Arabidopsis thaliana: one gene and its partners. The protein of the gene in region 1 purifies or fractionates together with the protein of each later gene. This does not show direct contact. Each region holds a gene or a part of one and is shown in the gene's direction. Other genes may lie near its edges.

Evidence for each region.
Region 2: the proteins of AT4G11380 (region 1) and AP19 fractionate together in Arabidopsis thaliana (co-fractionation; one large-scale study listed by BioGRID). This does not show direct contact.
Region 3: the proteins of AT4G11380 (region 1) and AT5G22780 fractionate together in Arabidopsis thaliana (co-fractionation; one large-scale study listed by BioGRID). This does not show direct contact.

Annotation. Positions count from the first base shown.
Region 1 is NC_003075.7:6,918,531-6,926,088, forward strand, and holds AT4G11380 (Adaptin family protein), read left to right. Parts: upstream 1-1,958; 5' UTR 1,959-2,077; coding exon 2,078-2,164; intron 2,165-2,361; coding exon 2,362-2,404; intron 2,405-2,474; coding exon 2,475-2,497; intron 2,498-2,631; coding exon 2,632-2,829; intron 2,830-2,946; coding exon 2,947-3,060; intron 3,061-3,185; coding exon 3,186-3,436; intron 3,437-3,750; coding exon 3,751-3,886; intron 3,887-4,035; coding exon 4,036-4,215; intron 4,216-4,311; coding exon 4,312-4,404; intron 4,405-4,490; coding exon 4,491-4,702; intron 4,703-4,789; coding exon 4,790-4,853; intron 4,854-4,950; coding exon 4,951-5,130; intron 5,131-5,226; coding exon 5,227-5,319; intron 5,320-5,472; coding exon 5,473-5,855; intron 5,856-5,973; coding exon 5,974-6,163; intron 6,164-6,244; coding exon 6,245-6,448; intron 6,449-6,614; coding exon 6,615-6,914; 3' UTR 6,915-7,046; downstream 7,047-7,558. Other genes in the region: AT4G11373 (Serine/Threonine kinase catalytic domain protein), read left to right, coding at 1,129-1,233.
Region 2 is NC_003071.7:7,551,489-7,555,708, forward strand, and holds AP19 (associated protein 19), read left to right. Parts: upstream 1-1,503; 5' UTR 1,504-1,633; coding exon 1,634-1,636; intron 1,637-2,466; coding exon 2,467-2,553; intron 2,554-2,642; coding exon 2,643-2,734; intron 2,735-2,819; coding exon 2,820-2,928; intron 2,929-3,027; coding exon 3,028-3,063; intron 3,064-3,151; coding exon 3,152-3,238; intron 3,239-3,327; coding exon 3,328-3,399; 3' UTR 3,400-3,675; downstream 3,676-4,220. Other genes in the region: HMG2 (3-hydroxy-3-methylglutaryl-CoA reductase 2), read left to right, coding at 1-121, 242-493. UniProt on the Arabidopsis thaliana protein: Subunit of clathrin-associated adaptor protein complex 1 that plays a role in protein sorting at the trans-Golgi network and early endosomes (TGN/EE).
Region 3 is NC_003076.8:7,595,069-7,599,787, reverse strand, and holds the start of AT5G22780 (Adaptor protein complex AP-2, alpha subunit), read left to right. Parts: upstream 1-1,674; 5' UTR 1,675-1,959; coding exon 1,960-2,085; intron 2,086-2,863; coding exon 2,864-2,995; intron 2,996-3,367; coding exon 3,368-3,493; intron 3,494-3,708; coding exon 3,709-3,771; intron 3,772-3,856; coding exon 3,857-3,954; intron 3,955-4,035; coding exon 4,036-4,243; intron 4,244-4,408; coding exon 4,409-4,480; intron 4,481-4,554; coding exon 4,555-4,647; intron 4,648-4,719. Other genes in the region: RER1 (reticulata-related 1), read left to right, coding at 200-393. UniProt on the Arabidopsis thaliana protein: Subunit of the adaptor protein complex 2 (AP-2). Adaptor protein complexes function in protein transport via transport vesicles in different membrane traffic pathways.

The DNA of each region.
Region 1 (7,558 bases):
GGGGAACTTTGCAGAACTAGGATCAATCTGTGGACGAGACTGAGTAGCAAAAGCAGTGACATCTAGCTTTTCTTCCTTAGAGTATCTATTGCTCAACATGTCCTCTTCTTGTCTCACAATGTTGTAGACTTCTTCGAGTCCAGGAAGAGGAACACGTGATGTTAAGCTAGACCGAATTGTATGAAATTGAGTTTCATCAAGTCCATACAGAAATTGTTGAACCATGTCATCTTCTCTACCTTTCTCCTGCTCAGCTTCAAGATTACACACACATCTTCCACATTTGCAGGTTCGAAGAGGACGATAGTTGTTGATATTATCCCAAATCTTGTTGAGTTTTCCATAATATCCTTCAACAGTCATACCCTCTTGTTTACAAGTAGCAAGATCTGCCTTCATCTTCTGATTCTTTGGACCACTAGAAACAGAGAAGCGTTTACGAGTGTGTTCCCAAAGATCTCTAGCCACGTCACGGTGGGAGATATTCGTCAAGAGCGCCGGGTCAATCGTCATCTTCATCCAAGACACTAGCAAAGCATTAATCGTTAACCAGTCCTCGAGGTCCAGAGATTCTGACGGCGGTTGTGGAATGGAGCCGTCAAGAAAACCAAACTTCTTCCGTGAGCGCAGTGCTGTTTTGAAGCCACATGCCCATTCATCATAATTAGTCGACTTCAAGATCGGGTGGGAGATCACAGCTCCAGAGTTATCAGCGACCGTTAAGTCATACGGCGAGATCGTTCGCCGGACTTCAGTTACAAGAGGAATTACCGGAGGAGCAGCCATTACTCCAAAAGAAACTCAAACTTTATCGATTTCAAATGAAAAACCCCAGCTTTAGCTCTGATACCATGACAAAATCAAGAGACAAGAGATAAAGATAAGGTTTTGTCTTGATAGCAGCTTAAGTGTTTCTCAGACACTTATACAAAGAGAAAGCGTTTCAGACCTAAAGGGACAAGAAGGGAAAAGACCAAAAGGGGTTACAAACAGTACATAAAGCAACATTAAGCTTAAGAGCAACTAATTGATGTGCTCTAAATAAGATAAGTAGCAATATCTTCAACAGAGAGATCTTTGCTTCGTTTTGTTAATCTTTTTGTTGGGTTTGATTTGGTCTTTGGTTAGTTGCAGAGTGGGAATAAGCTCCGCGTGTTTTGGTGTCAACTTGTTGTCCTAGTTTTTAGTTTTGTTTCAGTTAGTTCCTGCAATTTCTCTTTCACGTATTTGTAAGAAGACTGAGTCTTCATCTTTAGGCTATTTAAAGCCAAACAACTATGATAATAAAACATCGAAGCATTCAGTTTTAGTCTCTTTGTTCTCTCAGATCAACACTTTTGTATGTTTATGTAGCAAATATGTCATAGAGATTTGAAGATTGAGAAAACACTGCTTGATGGTAGTCTTGCACCGCTTTTGAAAATCTGTGATTACTTGGCTTTGATCTCATAGGTCATTCATTCATTAGTCTCTTTTTCTTCTTTTGTTTCAGTTTTGGTTCCCATTATTACTTGGCTTTGATCTCATAAGTTTTTTTTTTAAGGAAACCCATTTAAGGATTCTACCTTTGGAGAAGAGAATTTATAAAAACTTGACAAAAACTCTAACCTTCAAAATTATTAATATTTGTTATTAAGAAATTTAAAGGATTCCTTATAAAAAACCCACCAATGGATTTGCTTTAAGATCCATTAAGATACTTATTGGAACCTGGAACCAAATCAAAACTCTTTTTTTTTTTTTTGGTTCGGTTCGGTTCAGTTCCAGTTTTATGGCAAAACCTAAGTTTAGGGGTAAATTGGAAAATATTCAAAAGTTTTAGCCAAATATCAAAGTTTTTACTAATTATCAAAAGACACACTCGAGAAATTCATAAATGGGCTAACTTTTATCAGAGAGCCCACTAAACAATCGGCCCGTTAGCCAAGAAAATCGTCACCGGCGTCTTCCATTCCAACATTTCTCCGTCATCGTCTCTCTCTCTCTTTTTTTTTTGTGTGTGCAAAACGTCTCTCTCTCTGTCTCATAAAATCTCAGAGAAGAAACATCGTCGGGTCAGGTCGAAGAAAGGAGAGAAATGAGTGGTCACGATTCGAAATACTTCTCCACGACGAAGAAGGGAGAGATCCCTGAGCTCAAGGAAGAGCTTAATTCCCAGTATAAGGTTTTTTTTTTCTTCTTAATCTTACTCTTGTCTCATTCCATGTGGATCTGTGATCCGCCATTATTACATTCACGATCTCTCGGTCGATGATCCTTCTCTCCTTGTAATTTAGTTATCCTTATACAAATTTTGGTAGATCTGTGTAGTTCTGGATTTTGAATTTTGAATTGAAATTGGTTTCGTGATTTTGTGGGAAGTGCGATGATTCCGTTCATTTTTCAGTAACTGATTGGGATATAGGTTAGAATTGGAGAGGAATTGGTAGGTTTTTGAGAATGGCTAATGTGGAGATGTGTGTGCAATCTCGTAGTAACTTTAGTGAAGCTTAGGTTGGTGAATCAGAACTTGTTCGATCTGGATCAGTGGATTTGGATGAAGAGTTTATGTTAATGATTTAAGAAGGAATGGTTCTTTTCTGCTTTGGCTACAGTTTTGTTAACCCTTGTTGTTTATTTACTGTTGCATAGGATAAGAGAAAAGATGCAGTTAAGAAGGTTATTGCGGCGATGACTGTTGGAAAGGATGTTTCATCACTTTTCACTGATGTAGTCAATTGTATGCAAACGGAAAATTTGGAGTTGAAGAAGCTTGTTTACTTGTATCTCATAAATTATGCGAAAAGCCAGCCAGATCTTGCTATTCTTGCAGTAAATACCTTTGTAAAGGTAACACTCAAGCAACTCAAACAAAACCACGTGGCATTCCTTTGTTCTGTTCTGAACCTGAAGGGGAAAGGAACTGATAAACTGATCATTACAAAATCATTGGTTTGTATTCTGCAGGATTCACAGGATCCAAATCCGCTGATTCGTGCTTTGGCTGTGCGGACAATGGGCTGCATTCGTGTTGATAAAATCACAGAATATCTATGTGATCCTCTTCAAAAGTGCCTAAAGGTTTGAGTTTCTAATGTTACATCTTCATTGGAATCTGATATCAAACATCTTTATTGCCCTTAAGAACCTGTTTCATCTTGACTAGTCCATCTTTTCACTATCCTGTGTATATTTTTTGTGTTTAGGATGATGACCCATATGTCAGGAAGACTGCGGCTATTTGCGTCGCTAAGCTTTTCGACATAAATGCTGAATTAGTTGAGGACAGAGGTTTCCTTGAAGCCTTGAAGGATTTGATATCAGATAACAATCCAATGGTTGTTGCCAATGCTGTAGCAGCCCTTGCGGAGATTCAAGAGAACAGTAGTAGCCCCATCTTTGAGATCAATAGTACCACTCTTACAAAGCTCCTTACTGCTCTAAATGAATGCACTGAGTAAGTCCTCTCCATTTCCGTAGTTTCACTGCATTCTGTTCGATTTTGAGTATTTATGGCCCCATTGTCCAGTCAGGGTTTAGGGGATGTTGATGGTTGTGAAATAGCTTGTTTGATGTGGTATGGCCTCTGTTTGGATATCATTCCGTTGTCTTTGTAACTATTTTCAAACAGCAGTTTAGAATTTTTCGTCATTGATGGTTTTATCTGTAGATAATGACCCAGTATATAAACTTTGGGGAAGAGAAGCATAAAATGAGTAATGGATAAGCTTTTGGTAGCTTCATTTTTAGTACTGACCATGATCATCGCAGGTGGGGTCAAGTTTTTATACTAGATGCTTTATCGAAGTATAAAGCAGCTGATCCCCGTGAGGCTGAAAATATTGTTGAGAGAGTAACACCAAGGTTGCAACATGCCAACTGCGCTGTTGTTCTTTCAGCTGTTAAGGTGAGCGACTTTCATTGATTGTTATCCTCTCTACTTCTAGTTGGTAGCTCGTCAAACTTGATTGTAAAACATCAGGCATCATCAAATGCCTTTGCATATTTTCCTATTGCGTTCTCACTTCTGTTTCATATTTGGTAATTGCCTGACAGATGATCCTTCAACAAATGGAACTTATTACTAGTACAGACGTGATTAGAAATCTTTGTAAGAAGATGGCTCCACCCCTTGTTACATTGCTTTCTGCCGAACCTGAGATACAATATGTTGCACTTCGTAACATTAATCTTATTGTGCAAAAACGACCCACTATCCTTGCCCATGAAATTAAGGTAGCATGACCTGTGTCTCATAGTTCCTCAGAATAAACAACTGATGTATCCGTGCATTTATTGATTATGTTGAAAGTGATATTCTTTTTGTTTTAGGTTTTCTTCTGCAAGTATAACGACCCAATTTATGTTAAGATGGAGAAGTTGGAGATTATGATTAAACTTGCCTCTGACAGAAACATAGACCAGGTATCCTCACTGAGCTCTACCATCTGCTGTGTGTCTTGATTATTATTGGTGCATATCTTTATGATTTTTGAAAATTGCTACTCTAGGTTCTTCTGGAATTCAAAGAGTATGCCACAGAAGTAGACGTTGATTTTGTTAGAAAGGCTGTTCGTGCGATAGGCCGATGTGCTATCAAACTAGAGAGAGCAGCTGAACGGTGCATCAGTGTTTTGCTCGAGTTGATCAAGATTAAAGTGAATTATGTTGTCCAGGAGGCCATTATTGTCATCAAAGATATCTTCAGAAGATATCCAAACACGTAAGTTGACATTTCTCAATCACTGTTGAAATGGCATCTTAAAACTCTTCTTTGATTTTGGTTATGCTATTCAAATATTTCATACAGGTATGAGTCCATAATTGCAACACTCTGTGAGAGTTTAGACACTTTGGATGAACCAGAAGCTAAGGTATTGAACTTTTTTGATTTTGGTTTGGAAAATTGAAATTTACCATCTTCATTTAATCTTAAATCACTGAATTCGGTATCTTTTGGTAACTTGAAAGGCATCTATGATATGGATCATTGGTGAATATGCTGAAAGAATTGACAATGCCGATGAGCTTCTTGAAAGCTTTCTGGAGAATTTTCCTGAGGAACCAGCACAGGTCCAGTTGCAGCTCCTAACTGCTACTGTTAAGCTATTCCTGAAGAAGCCAACTGAAGGCCCTCAACAAATGATTCAGGTTCGGCTTTTTCCTTGCTCACCACTGTTTTTATGATCGATTCATGAGCATGTATGTAATGACAGGCATGTTTTCCGTTATGCTTGATGTTTTCAGGTTGTCTTGAATAATGCTACTGTGGAGACGGATAATCCTGATCTCAGAGATCGTGCATACATATACTGGCGTCTTCTATCCACTGATCCTGAGGTGTGTGTTACCTTGATTTCTTATAGCTTTCTAGTAATCAACCAGTAGAGAATGAATATATTCAGGATTGGTTATTCAAGCAACAAGCAATTTTTATCAGTTGAGCTTTCTCTTGAGATGTATTTGGCTGAACTCATCATTTCTCTTGATTAGGCTGCCAAGGATGTTGTCTTAGCTGAAAAGCCCGTGATTTCTGACGACTCAAACCAGCTAGACCCATCACTTCTTGATGAGCTTCTTACAAATATTTCGACCTTGTCCTCTGTGTACCACAAACCCCCAGAGGCTTTTGTTACCCGCTTGAAAACGACAGTTCAGAAAACAGAAGACGAGGACTTTGCGGAAGGAAGCGAAGCAGGATACTCATCTAGTAATCCGGTTGATAGTGCAGCTTCTCCTCCAGGTAATATCCCACAGCCTTCCGGAAGACAACCAGCACCAGCGGTCCCAGCTCCTGTACCTGATCTGCTAGGTGACCTGATGGGATTGGATAATGCCGCTATTGTCCCGGTTGATGATCCCATAACTCAATCTGGGTGAGTTATGTCTTGATTAATGAAACTTTCTATTGTTGGGACTAGTTTATTACGTTAGGTCAATTTCGGTTGCCTAGTTCATACTGAAACTCATCAAATCTTATGAACTTGATCGTAGTCCTCCTCTGCCCGTTGTCGTCCCAGCTTCAAGTGGTCAAGGTCTGCAGATAAGCGCTCAATTATCCCGAAAAGATGGACAAGTATTTTACAGTATGCTCTTCGAGAACAACTCGCAGTCGGTTCTTGATGGTTTCATGATTCAGTTCAACAAAAACACATTCGGCCTTGCAGCTGCTGGATCTCTTCAGGTAACTCTATCTGAATCTAATTAACGTCTGAAACTCAGGTCTGAATCATTGAAACCAATATCCATGTCTGTACTGTTTCAGATTCCGCCTTTGCATCCCGCAACATCCGCCAGGACAATGCTACCTATGGTCTTGTTCCAAAACATGTCTGCTGGGCCTCCAAGCTCGCTCTTACAAGTCGCTGTCAAAAACAACCAGCAGCCCGTGTGGTACTTCACCGATAAGATTATACTTCATGCTCTTTTCGGTGAAGACGGTAGAATGGAACGTGGAACCTTCCTTGAGGTAACATACTTCAAAACTTGAGCTGTTCATATCGGTTCTGGTTTAGGAAAATAGTGACGACTGTGAAACCAAATCGGTTAGAGATAAATTTATACGGTTTGGGTTTTCATTTGGATATATCTTTATGTTTTCAAAGATTTTAAGTTTTTGTTTGCTTTTTAATCAGACATGGAGGTCGTTACCGGACTCAAATGAAGTCCTGAAAGAATTCCCCGGGATCACCATCACGAGCGTCGAATCAACTATCGAATTGCTCACAGCATTCAACATGTTCTTTATAGCAAAGCGCAAGAACGGGAACCAAGACGTGATCTACTTATCAGCCAAAGATCCACGAGATGTACCGTTTTTGATCGAGCTCACTGCAATGGTGGGCCAACCAGGTCTCAAATGCGCAGTGAAAACTCCCACTCCCGAGATTGCGCCTCTCTTCTTCGAAGCTTTGGAGCTTCTCTTCAAGGCTTGATGATTAACGTTGTTATCAAAAGGCTAATAAGACCAAGACCTGAAAGGTTTCAGAGATTCTTTCTTGTTTCGTTATATCCCACCTTTTTTCTTCTTCTGAGTTTAGTGTATGTAATAAATCCCATGTTTGTGTTACTTCCGGTTGCACCCTTTTAGTTTGGTATTTGTAATGCTCACTATTTTCTTATAATTCTTGTATCGGAACCACATTTTTTTTCTTTCGATATTTAATCCGGGAAATGCTGGTTTCTGAACTAATAAGGAAGATCAAACACCATCAAAGGACCAGATCACCATGGAAAATCAGTGATCTAGCTACATTGGAGCCGTTGATGATGCTAGTGATGGACAATGCCAAAACTTTCAAACATTTCTTTTAGGTGATAGGTACACTTGGGGCTAGAGACCAAAGACGGTTATTCTTGTATTTTAAAATCAGAATTGCTATCAGAAGCATGTGTTTTGTCATGCAGTGTGCAATTTGGAGTTTCTTTCAGGATATGCTAGCCACACTAAGTTTGCATCAGAGTGAAACATAGTAGTATCCTTTTAGAAAGTAAGGCATCGGCTCTTAAGTTAAACACAATTTGGATAGACATATGTGGACATGCAAAAGTTATCGTGGGAGGAGTGTTGGGAAACATA
Region 2 (4,220 bases), on another chromosome or scaffold:
CGCTGTGTTCATCGCCACTGGCCAAGACCCAGCTCAAAACGTGGAGAGCTCACACTGTATGACCATGATTCTTCCCGATGGTGACGACCTTCACATCTCTGTTTCAATGCCTTGCATTGAGGTATAATGCATGTTCTATCTTGAAATTAAACCCATTATTGCAGAGAACACAAAGCCGTTAGTTTTTTGAATTATTGTTGGATCCAACTCATGAATGTTTTGTTTATTGATGTGACTCCAGGTTGGTACTGTTGGAGGTGGGACACAACTTGCATCACAAGCAGCTTGTTTGAATCTACTCGGTGTGAAAGGATCAAACAACGAGAAACCTGGCTCGAACGCACAGCAATTGGCAAGAATAGTGGCTGGTTCGGTTCTTGCAGGAGAGCTTTCACTAATGTCTGCTATTGCAGCTGGACAGCTTGTGAAGAGTCACATGAAATACAACAGATCCAGCAGAGACATTGGCCCTTCGTCTCAAGTCAACAGGTGATGTTTGGAGCACGATGAGACGGATAATAATAAAACAACAAAAACCCATAATTAGATTTGATGTAATTCTAACTTCATTTGATTTCTTCTTCATCGATCTCTTTTCTTTTCTATCTATTTTGTACTAAGTCTCCAAATTTTCTTAATTTATGTAAAGTCTTTTGTCCTTCCATCTTTATGGCTTATATTAATATCATAGCTTAGCATCAAAATGTGTAATTAAATTGCGGTTTAAGCTTTAAAGCCATGATTTTTTTTTCTAACATTGAATAGATTATTGTGGCAGTGTTTGCTTTGTGATGATTATGTACGTGACAGAGTTAGGTACTACTAATAAATGTAGAAATGTAGTTGTGAATATTGCAGACGATGGAGGAGTGATATGGTAGTTTGACAAATGAAGCATTTGAGGCAATGAAGTCTCTCCTCATGGCATGTGTGTGTATGGGTCTTTGATGATATCTTAGAAAGTAAGCAGTAGAGACTGTGCAGAGAGCTAAACCAACAATCATTATTGATTTTAAACCAAAGAGAGTAAGAGTTTTATTATTATTGATTTCTGATTACTTCTCTTACAATTGAAGTAATGAATTTTATGTTACGACAAATTTGATCATTTATATAGACGTAAAAATGTAAATTATTATGCATGCATAGTGACGCTGAGGCTCATACAAGTTATAATTTACTCTCAATATTTTCAGGTTGCACATCAATTGTTGATATTTTGTTTCCTCCTTTGTTCTAACTTTTACAACAATAATATCTCATTTTGAAAAATTGCCTAAACCTTTTAATAAAAAGTTGTGATTTTGTTGCAATTTTTAATCTGTAAAAATGCAATCCGATTAAGTCGGACCGTCAGATCAGTCCTCATCTTGTTTGTTTAACGGTCCAGATTTAAAACACTACCCCAGTAAATACAAAACCAACTGAAGAAAAATAAATAAAAAGTAAATTTTTAAAGAGTCCGACCCGGGTCCCTCAAAAAAAAAAAACTCCGACCCGGGACAAGATCCGTATCCAACAAACTTATATGTGTATCGGACACAGAAGAATACTTTCCACGATCATCAGCTTCTGGAGATCTCTTCTGGGAATCGAGCTTCACTGTTAAAGATTTTCCTTCAATCGGCTAAAAATGGTAACAATCGCCACTCCCTTTGCTTTTGGGCTTCTCTGTTATCTGTTCGAATTTTGGATCTGCCTTCGATCTTGTACTATTGCATCGAGTATCTACGATTTGATTTGATGATGAAATTGAATCTAATCCTCCGGTATCCGTAGATTTCTGCTTGGATCTGTCCGGTTCTTTTCTCGCTTACGAATTGATCGATTATTTAGGAAGTGAAAGGATTAGTTTGTTTCGTGAAGCTTGAAATTGTTATGTTTCTGTTGCCCATTCGAATCTCTTGTGAGTTATTAAATCCAATTCATTGTTTTTGAACCACTATTGCTCTTGAAGTAATTAAGCTTCTTGGATTCAAATGTAATAGGGTCTAAGCTAGTTCATGTACCTCACATCTCTTTATTTGCCTCTGTTTCTGAATTGGCAAAATAAGCTCGTTGATCTCTCCATCTTTCCATATCTTTAAATGGTTTAAAAACTTTTCTTGAGATGCTTGTGGCTTGCGTTTAGGTGTATGATGGTAAATGATTCTCAAGTTCTGGTACTTGATCTCTCACAATTCCCTCTTTTGCTTGCCTTATGCAATTATGTGCATTTCAAATCTTTATGAGTTGCCAGAAATCGTGATATATACTACTGGTTTTGTCTGGTCTTGTTTTAATTCTCTTTATCTCGATGCTGTCTTTGTGATTCTAGAATTTTCTCATGCTTGATATGGGTGAGGAGACGTCAAAAACTAATTAATGTGTTATGTATTGCCATTCACAATGATAGAATAATGCTTTCTTGAAAAGAAAAAAAAAAACTTCTAAGGTGGCTGTTTTGGGTTATGTTTGTATTTTCAGATACATTTCGTGTTACTAGTCAGTCGACAAGGGAAAGTAAGGCTCACCAAGTGGTATTCGCCGTATACGCAGAAGGAAAGATCTAAGGTATGTACAGCTTAAGTGTTATTGAGTTAATGCCGCATTATGCTTTGCATGCCTATTTAATCTTACATTTGGAAAAATGATCTGGACAGGTCATACGTGAACTCAGTGGAGTGATTCTGAACCGAGGTCCCAAGCTCTGCAATTTTATTGAATGGAGAGGATACAAGGTTGTCTACAAAAGGTAATAGACATATTTTATATAAGTAGCATGTATTTGCTACTTTAAAAACAATGGTTATAAACATGATGGTTTTGTAATTTTGCAGATATGCAAGCTTGTACTTCTGCATGTGCATTGATGAGGCGGATAACGAGTTAGAGGTACTGGAGATAATTCATCACTACGTCGAGATTCTTGACCGCTACTTTGGCAGTGTGAGTAAACGCTTATCCAAAATATACTCCTACCACTCTATCATAACCTTACAAAACATCTAGATTTTGATTAAGAGCTGTTTATTCTATGATCTTCAGGTGTGTGAACTCGATTTGATTTTTAACTTCCACAAGGTATACATACTCAACTCTATCAATGATTCTCTACTCTCTGTATTTTACTTCAATATGACAATTTTCGAATCTGGTTGTTTTGTTCTAGGCGTATTATATACTCGATGAGCTGTTGATCGCCGGAGAACTTCAAGAGTCAAGCAAGAAAACAGTTGCAAGGATAATATCAGCCCAGGTATGGTTTCTTAATCCTAATGCCCACTGAGACAAAAACGATTAGTCCGTAAGGGTTGTGTAAATGATGTTGTGTTATAATATTTGAAGGATCAATTGGTGGAAGTTGCGAAAGAGGAGGCGAGTTCCATAAGTAATATAATTGCTCAGGCTACCAAGTAGTCCTTTTCTGAACTTTTCTTATGCAGCTGAAACAATCGTAAATGAGTTAATATTTTCCTTAAACTCTGAGATATTCTCTTCTGAATCACACTTTTGTTTGTCATGTCATGTGATTGTTTGATTGATTAGAAGAAAGAAGCATTCATCGTTTTGGGTTTAAAAGTAGTGATTGATCTGCGAAATCATAAATGGTATACTATTTTTTCACATATGTTACGTTTTAAAACGTGGAATGCTGAAATTTCATCAAGTTCATCATCTCGAAATTATAATTTGTCCGATTGATTGAATAGAATTGGTTTTTGAGCCTGAGGACTGATGCACCAAACAACATGCCAGTGTCTCGTTCTTTCTTCTTCAACGTGCCTAATTTTGTAATTCGGGCGACCTAACCTCATTTTGTGTAACCGTGATCCGCCATGAGAGGAGGTATCCGCTCGAAGAGTTATCCTTTCTCCTCACAAAAGCAACGCCAATGTCCCTTTTCTCACTTTGCCCTGTTTGCTCCTTAGTACTTGTTTCACCAAAATAATCTATAGGATTTCAAATACATGAAGAATGTTTGATGGTAACACCAAAAATAGTGGAGAAGAAACAGACACTTATGGGCTTGGGCTCAAGGACTCGAAACTTGTATACCCAAACTTAAACGTGACTGCGTCTTGTTCTTACCAATCCAATAATTTATAGTAATGATAATAATTCATCTTTCCATATATAATTTTTTTTAATTATTGAAATTAAAAATGAGGGAAAGAATATCCGTTTTCTTTGCCACAAAAACATTTTCATTTGGGGGTTTTCATAATTTTTGGTTCTTC
Region 3 (4,719 bases), on another chromosome or scaffold:
CAATGATACCAAGAATAGATTATGCTTACAATTCTATGTGAAGATATTAGCTACATTGTCCTGTTGTTAGCAATATTAGATCAATGGAGAGGGTAATTTAGTTGCTGAGCTCAGAGATAACCCTGAAGTTTACTCTGTGAATTGTTGATTACATATACATATATATTCACTCTCTTCTCTGTATTGCGCTGTTGTTCAGGTGTGTTCCTCGGCTTATCTTCCAATGCGCGTTACCAAATCATCAACGGCCTCGAACGCGTCGTGGAAGGTTCTACAGCGGCCAAACGTATCCCTGTGGTCGCTATGGCATTCACGGTGGGAGTCCGGTTTGCTAACAATGTGTATGGCGGTATGCAATTTGTAGATTGGGCTAAATTGTCCGGCGTTCAGTAATCAACCGGTTCGGTTTTGTTACAAACCGGATAGTAAACTAGCCTAGATGTCAATCCTCAGGAGTATGAGAGTATCTCTAATCTGATGGGGAAGTTTAGTTATCTGAGTTTCATTAGTGTGATTAGGTTATTTACCGAGAGCTACAGAAAGAGAATCTGGTTCATGATACGGACCGGATTCTTCTAACCGGAATACTACTCGATACAACATTTTCAATTTGGTTTTGGAAGTTGAGTTTCTCATGGTATCCTTGTCTCTCTTATTCATTTTTCTGAATCATATACTTGCAATAATGACTCAAACTTTTTATCAGCCGTTAGCCTCTGCGTTTTTATAAAGTTTATAACAATATGATCACAATGGCGAATTATGTCAACTAAACGTCATTTTTGACGTTTGCGTTGATTCATTCTTCTGTGTTTTTTTTTTCACTTTTCCCACCGTTAAAAGTGAGAAGGGGAAAAGGAGAATTGTTGGTAGGTGGAGATATTAAAAGTAATAAATAAAAATATTTAAAGCAACTATGAGTGAGTATATTACAAAAAAATCTTTCGATATTTATTTGCAAGGAAAATATTCTTAGGATACTTTGATGGTAAGGCATCATTCGATAGATGGAGGATCTTGCGAGTGACAGCTTAGTAACCACTGTCATCCAACTGCTGCATGATCCTCATCTTTTGTTCTCTTGTTTCTGTTTTGTGCCCCTTAATGATATTTTATTTATACTCCTTTACTTAATTTGAACAATTTATATTATATGCCCTATAGATTAATTAATGTGAATACCAAATGGTAATCAAAAGCTGACGACTGTTCAAAGGAACATTGTCCTCCCAAGGAAGGTGAATCATTTGATTAATCATCCCTACGTTGGGACCATAACTTGACCTGAATTTAAAATCCGGTTTTTTCATGGTCTCATGGTATGGTTATGTACTTATGTTATACTGAAATACCAATTGAATACATAACCGCGGTGAAAAACAGTTTAAGATTTTGAGACAGATTGTACAAACTTCGTTTTAATGGTGCAGTCTTTTGAGAAATGGCCAGCTTTCTTCATTTTTAATATATAAAATTAGTTTATTCCATGTTTATTTTTCGAATTACTCGTTTATTTTTTGTATTTCTCGAACTTGTAATCTTAAATTCGTCTGTTTAGCTCGTTTTAATTTTTGTTTTTTTTTGTAAACTCGTGAATTCTGTTTTTGGACGAGTCAATTTCGAATTTTCCAAATTCGCATGTGTTCAAAAATCAAAACAGACGAAACTGAATAACACAAAATTGAATAGTCAAAGTTGTAAATAATAAAAGTCGTCCCTCGTCTCTTCCCGCAGGCTTGTCTCTCTCTTCTCCAAAGATCACTCTCTCCTTTTTGAATTTCGTCCATTGGAGGTGTCATTTTCCGTTTCTAGATTAGGGTTTCGATCTCAGCTCTCGCGAATTGCTAATCCTTCAGCTGTGGTCTGCGCTTTCTGTCATAGTTAGATCCGGTTTCGCGAGTTCGGATCTGCGCCGTGTGAGGCGGTGGAGGACGGTGGATCTGAGGACTCTGTTCCACCATGACCGGAATGAGAGGTCTCTCCGTATTTATCAGCGACGTTCGTAATTGTCAGAACAAGGAAGCGGAGAGACTACGAGTTGATAAGGAGCTCGGAAACATTCGTACATGCTTCAAGAATGAGAAGGTTACTCTCAATTATCTCCATTTTTGTTTGCCTGTGTTTTATTCTCATTTTGAGTGGTAATTCAGTGACGGAGTAGTATCTGCCGAGGTTCTGTATTGATTAGATATATTGGAGATTTCTCCATGAAGCTACCTATTCCTCTGAGGTTGATTAGGGAGTTATATAAGAATGTAGTTGAAAGAAAGATGCAATCACTGGCCGAATATTTTATTAGGAAAGCCAGAGTTGCCGAGTGGATAGTTTTGGAAGCCTGTAGTTTCTTATTTTATCGGATTCAGGCTATAAATTTTTGATATAACACTAAGTGTGTACCTGGACAGGCAGTATTGTATAGCTAGCTCAGATCGGTAGAGATTAGCCATTATTCTACCCTTTGTAACATCACTAGTACTGCTTTCAACTTTGGAATGTCATTACTGCATTTAAAGTCCATAGATGGGAGAAGATCAATCAAGATATATAAGACACTAAATATATGATGATATTTAGGAACTAGAAGAAAAGAATGGCCTGGCAGTAAATTCGGTTATGTAGTGATGGTCTAAGGAAAGAAATACAGATCACGGAAAATTTTGAAAAGCTCATTACGAAATACATTAAGCTTTGTTGCTGTAAGAAGTTCTGGAGAGATAATCTGGTTCCATACTCTACGTAGTAGAGCTGTAGCCGGCCTGTAGTGGATCCATGTGTGGCCAGTTGGACCAACACCAAACTTATTTTAAAATGTTAGAAATAAATTAATCATGCACTCTTACTTTAACTTGTTTTATGTTTTCAGGTCTTAACACCATACAAAAAGAAGAAATATGTCTGGAAAATGCTTTATATACATATGCTAGGCTACGATGTGGATTTTGGCCATATGGAGGCAGTTTCTCTTATATCTGCGCCAAAGTATCCAGAAAAGCAGGTAAGCCAACGTTTTGTAACCAATGAAATATTGCTTTCTAAGGGTAGGAGAAGATAATAGGTGTGTGTGTGGTGGGGGTGGGGTATTTGTTTGATTCAAGTCTAGTGAGCAAGCTGAAACAAAAAAAAAAATCTCTGAAGATAATGGATGCTGGATTTAGATACTATTTCACAAGCTTGCAACTTATTCAGTTTGAATGGACCTGGTAAAGTACTGGAGGCATTTACTTAGACGCATAAGTTACTTAGTAACATCGTAGCAAATCTTAACCAGGAACCATGCATTGTATCCAAGGGTTTGTATTTGCAGTTTGTATTATTTTATGCTCACTACCAAATTTGCAGGTATTGAACTTTTCATCCATAATTTCAGGTTGGCTACATTGTTACATCTTGCTTGCTCAATGAGAACCATGACTTTTTGAAGTTGGCTATAAATACAGTGCGGAACGATATTATTGGTCGGAATGAGACTTTCCAATGCTTAGCACTGACCTTGGTATGTTGGCTTTTGTCCATGCTGTGTTGAGGTTTTAGAGCTTAGTGAGGTCTTTCTGATTATGAATGCAGTTGAATGACTATTTTAGTGGAAGTCTTTGGATACATTTATCTTTTGTGCTCTATTATTTTGCGATTCAAAGCCACTTACTTCATTGAACTGGTGCTTTTTTTCTTCTAGCTCTCTTACATTTCCCTGCTTATTTTGTCCTGTAGGTTGGAAATATTGGTGGAAGAGATTTTGCTGAATCATTGGCACCTGATGTTCAAAAGCTACTTGTAAGTGACTCCCAAAGATGACATGTTATGTTTTTTTTCCCGATATAAGTAAACATATAAATGTTTTGGGGCTTGTTCGCTGCAGATTTCTAGTAGTTGCAGACCTCTCGTAAGGAAAAAAGCGGCACTGTGCCTACTGCGCTTATTCCGAAAAAATCCGGATGCTGTCAACGTTGATGGCTGGTGTGTGTGAACACTCTTGGGTTACTGGTTGTTTGAGTTTACTTGTGCATCTTTCATATTCACTTTGTCGTATACTTCCAGGGCGGATCGTATGGCACAACTTTTGGATGAACGAGATCTTGGTGTCTTGACGTCTTCTACGAGTCTTCTTGTAGCTCTGGTATCTAACAATCATGAGGCGTACTCAAGTTGTCTACCTAAATGTGTCAAAATATTAGAACGCCTTGCTAGGAACCAGGATGTTCCTCAGGAGTACACATACTATGGCATCCCATCTCCTTGGCTCCAGGTTTGTCTTAACTCGGTTAATACGTTCAATATTTTTTAATCACATCCTTTTCCCAATCTCATGCATTTTAAACATTTTATGTGAAATTAGCTTATGAAAATAGAGGCTTGCCCCAGCTTTGGTATGTTGTGGTTGTTGGATACTTATATATCTTTGGCAGTACAGGTTAAGGCAATGAGGGCTCTTCAATATTTTCCAACCATTGAAGATCCCAGTACCAGAAAAGCTCTCTTTGAGGTACAAATTTTCTTGTGTAAATATCTGATATATGTCTTCGAAATCTCTCTCATGGCATTTCATGGAAATTTCAGGTCCTTCAGCGAATATTGATGGGCACAGATGTTGTGAAAAATGTGAATAAAAACAATGCGTCTCATGCCGTGCTGTTTGAAGCTCTCTCCCTGGTAAGCTCTATCTAAGAAATAGCATTAACTTTTTGAGGTTCAATTGTTGATTATACTCAAGTCAACTATCTG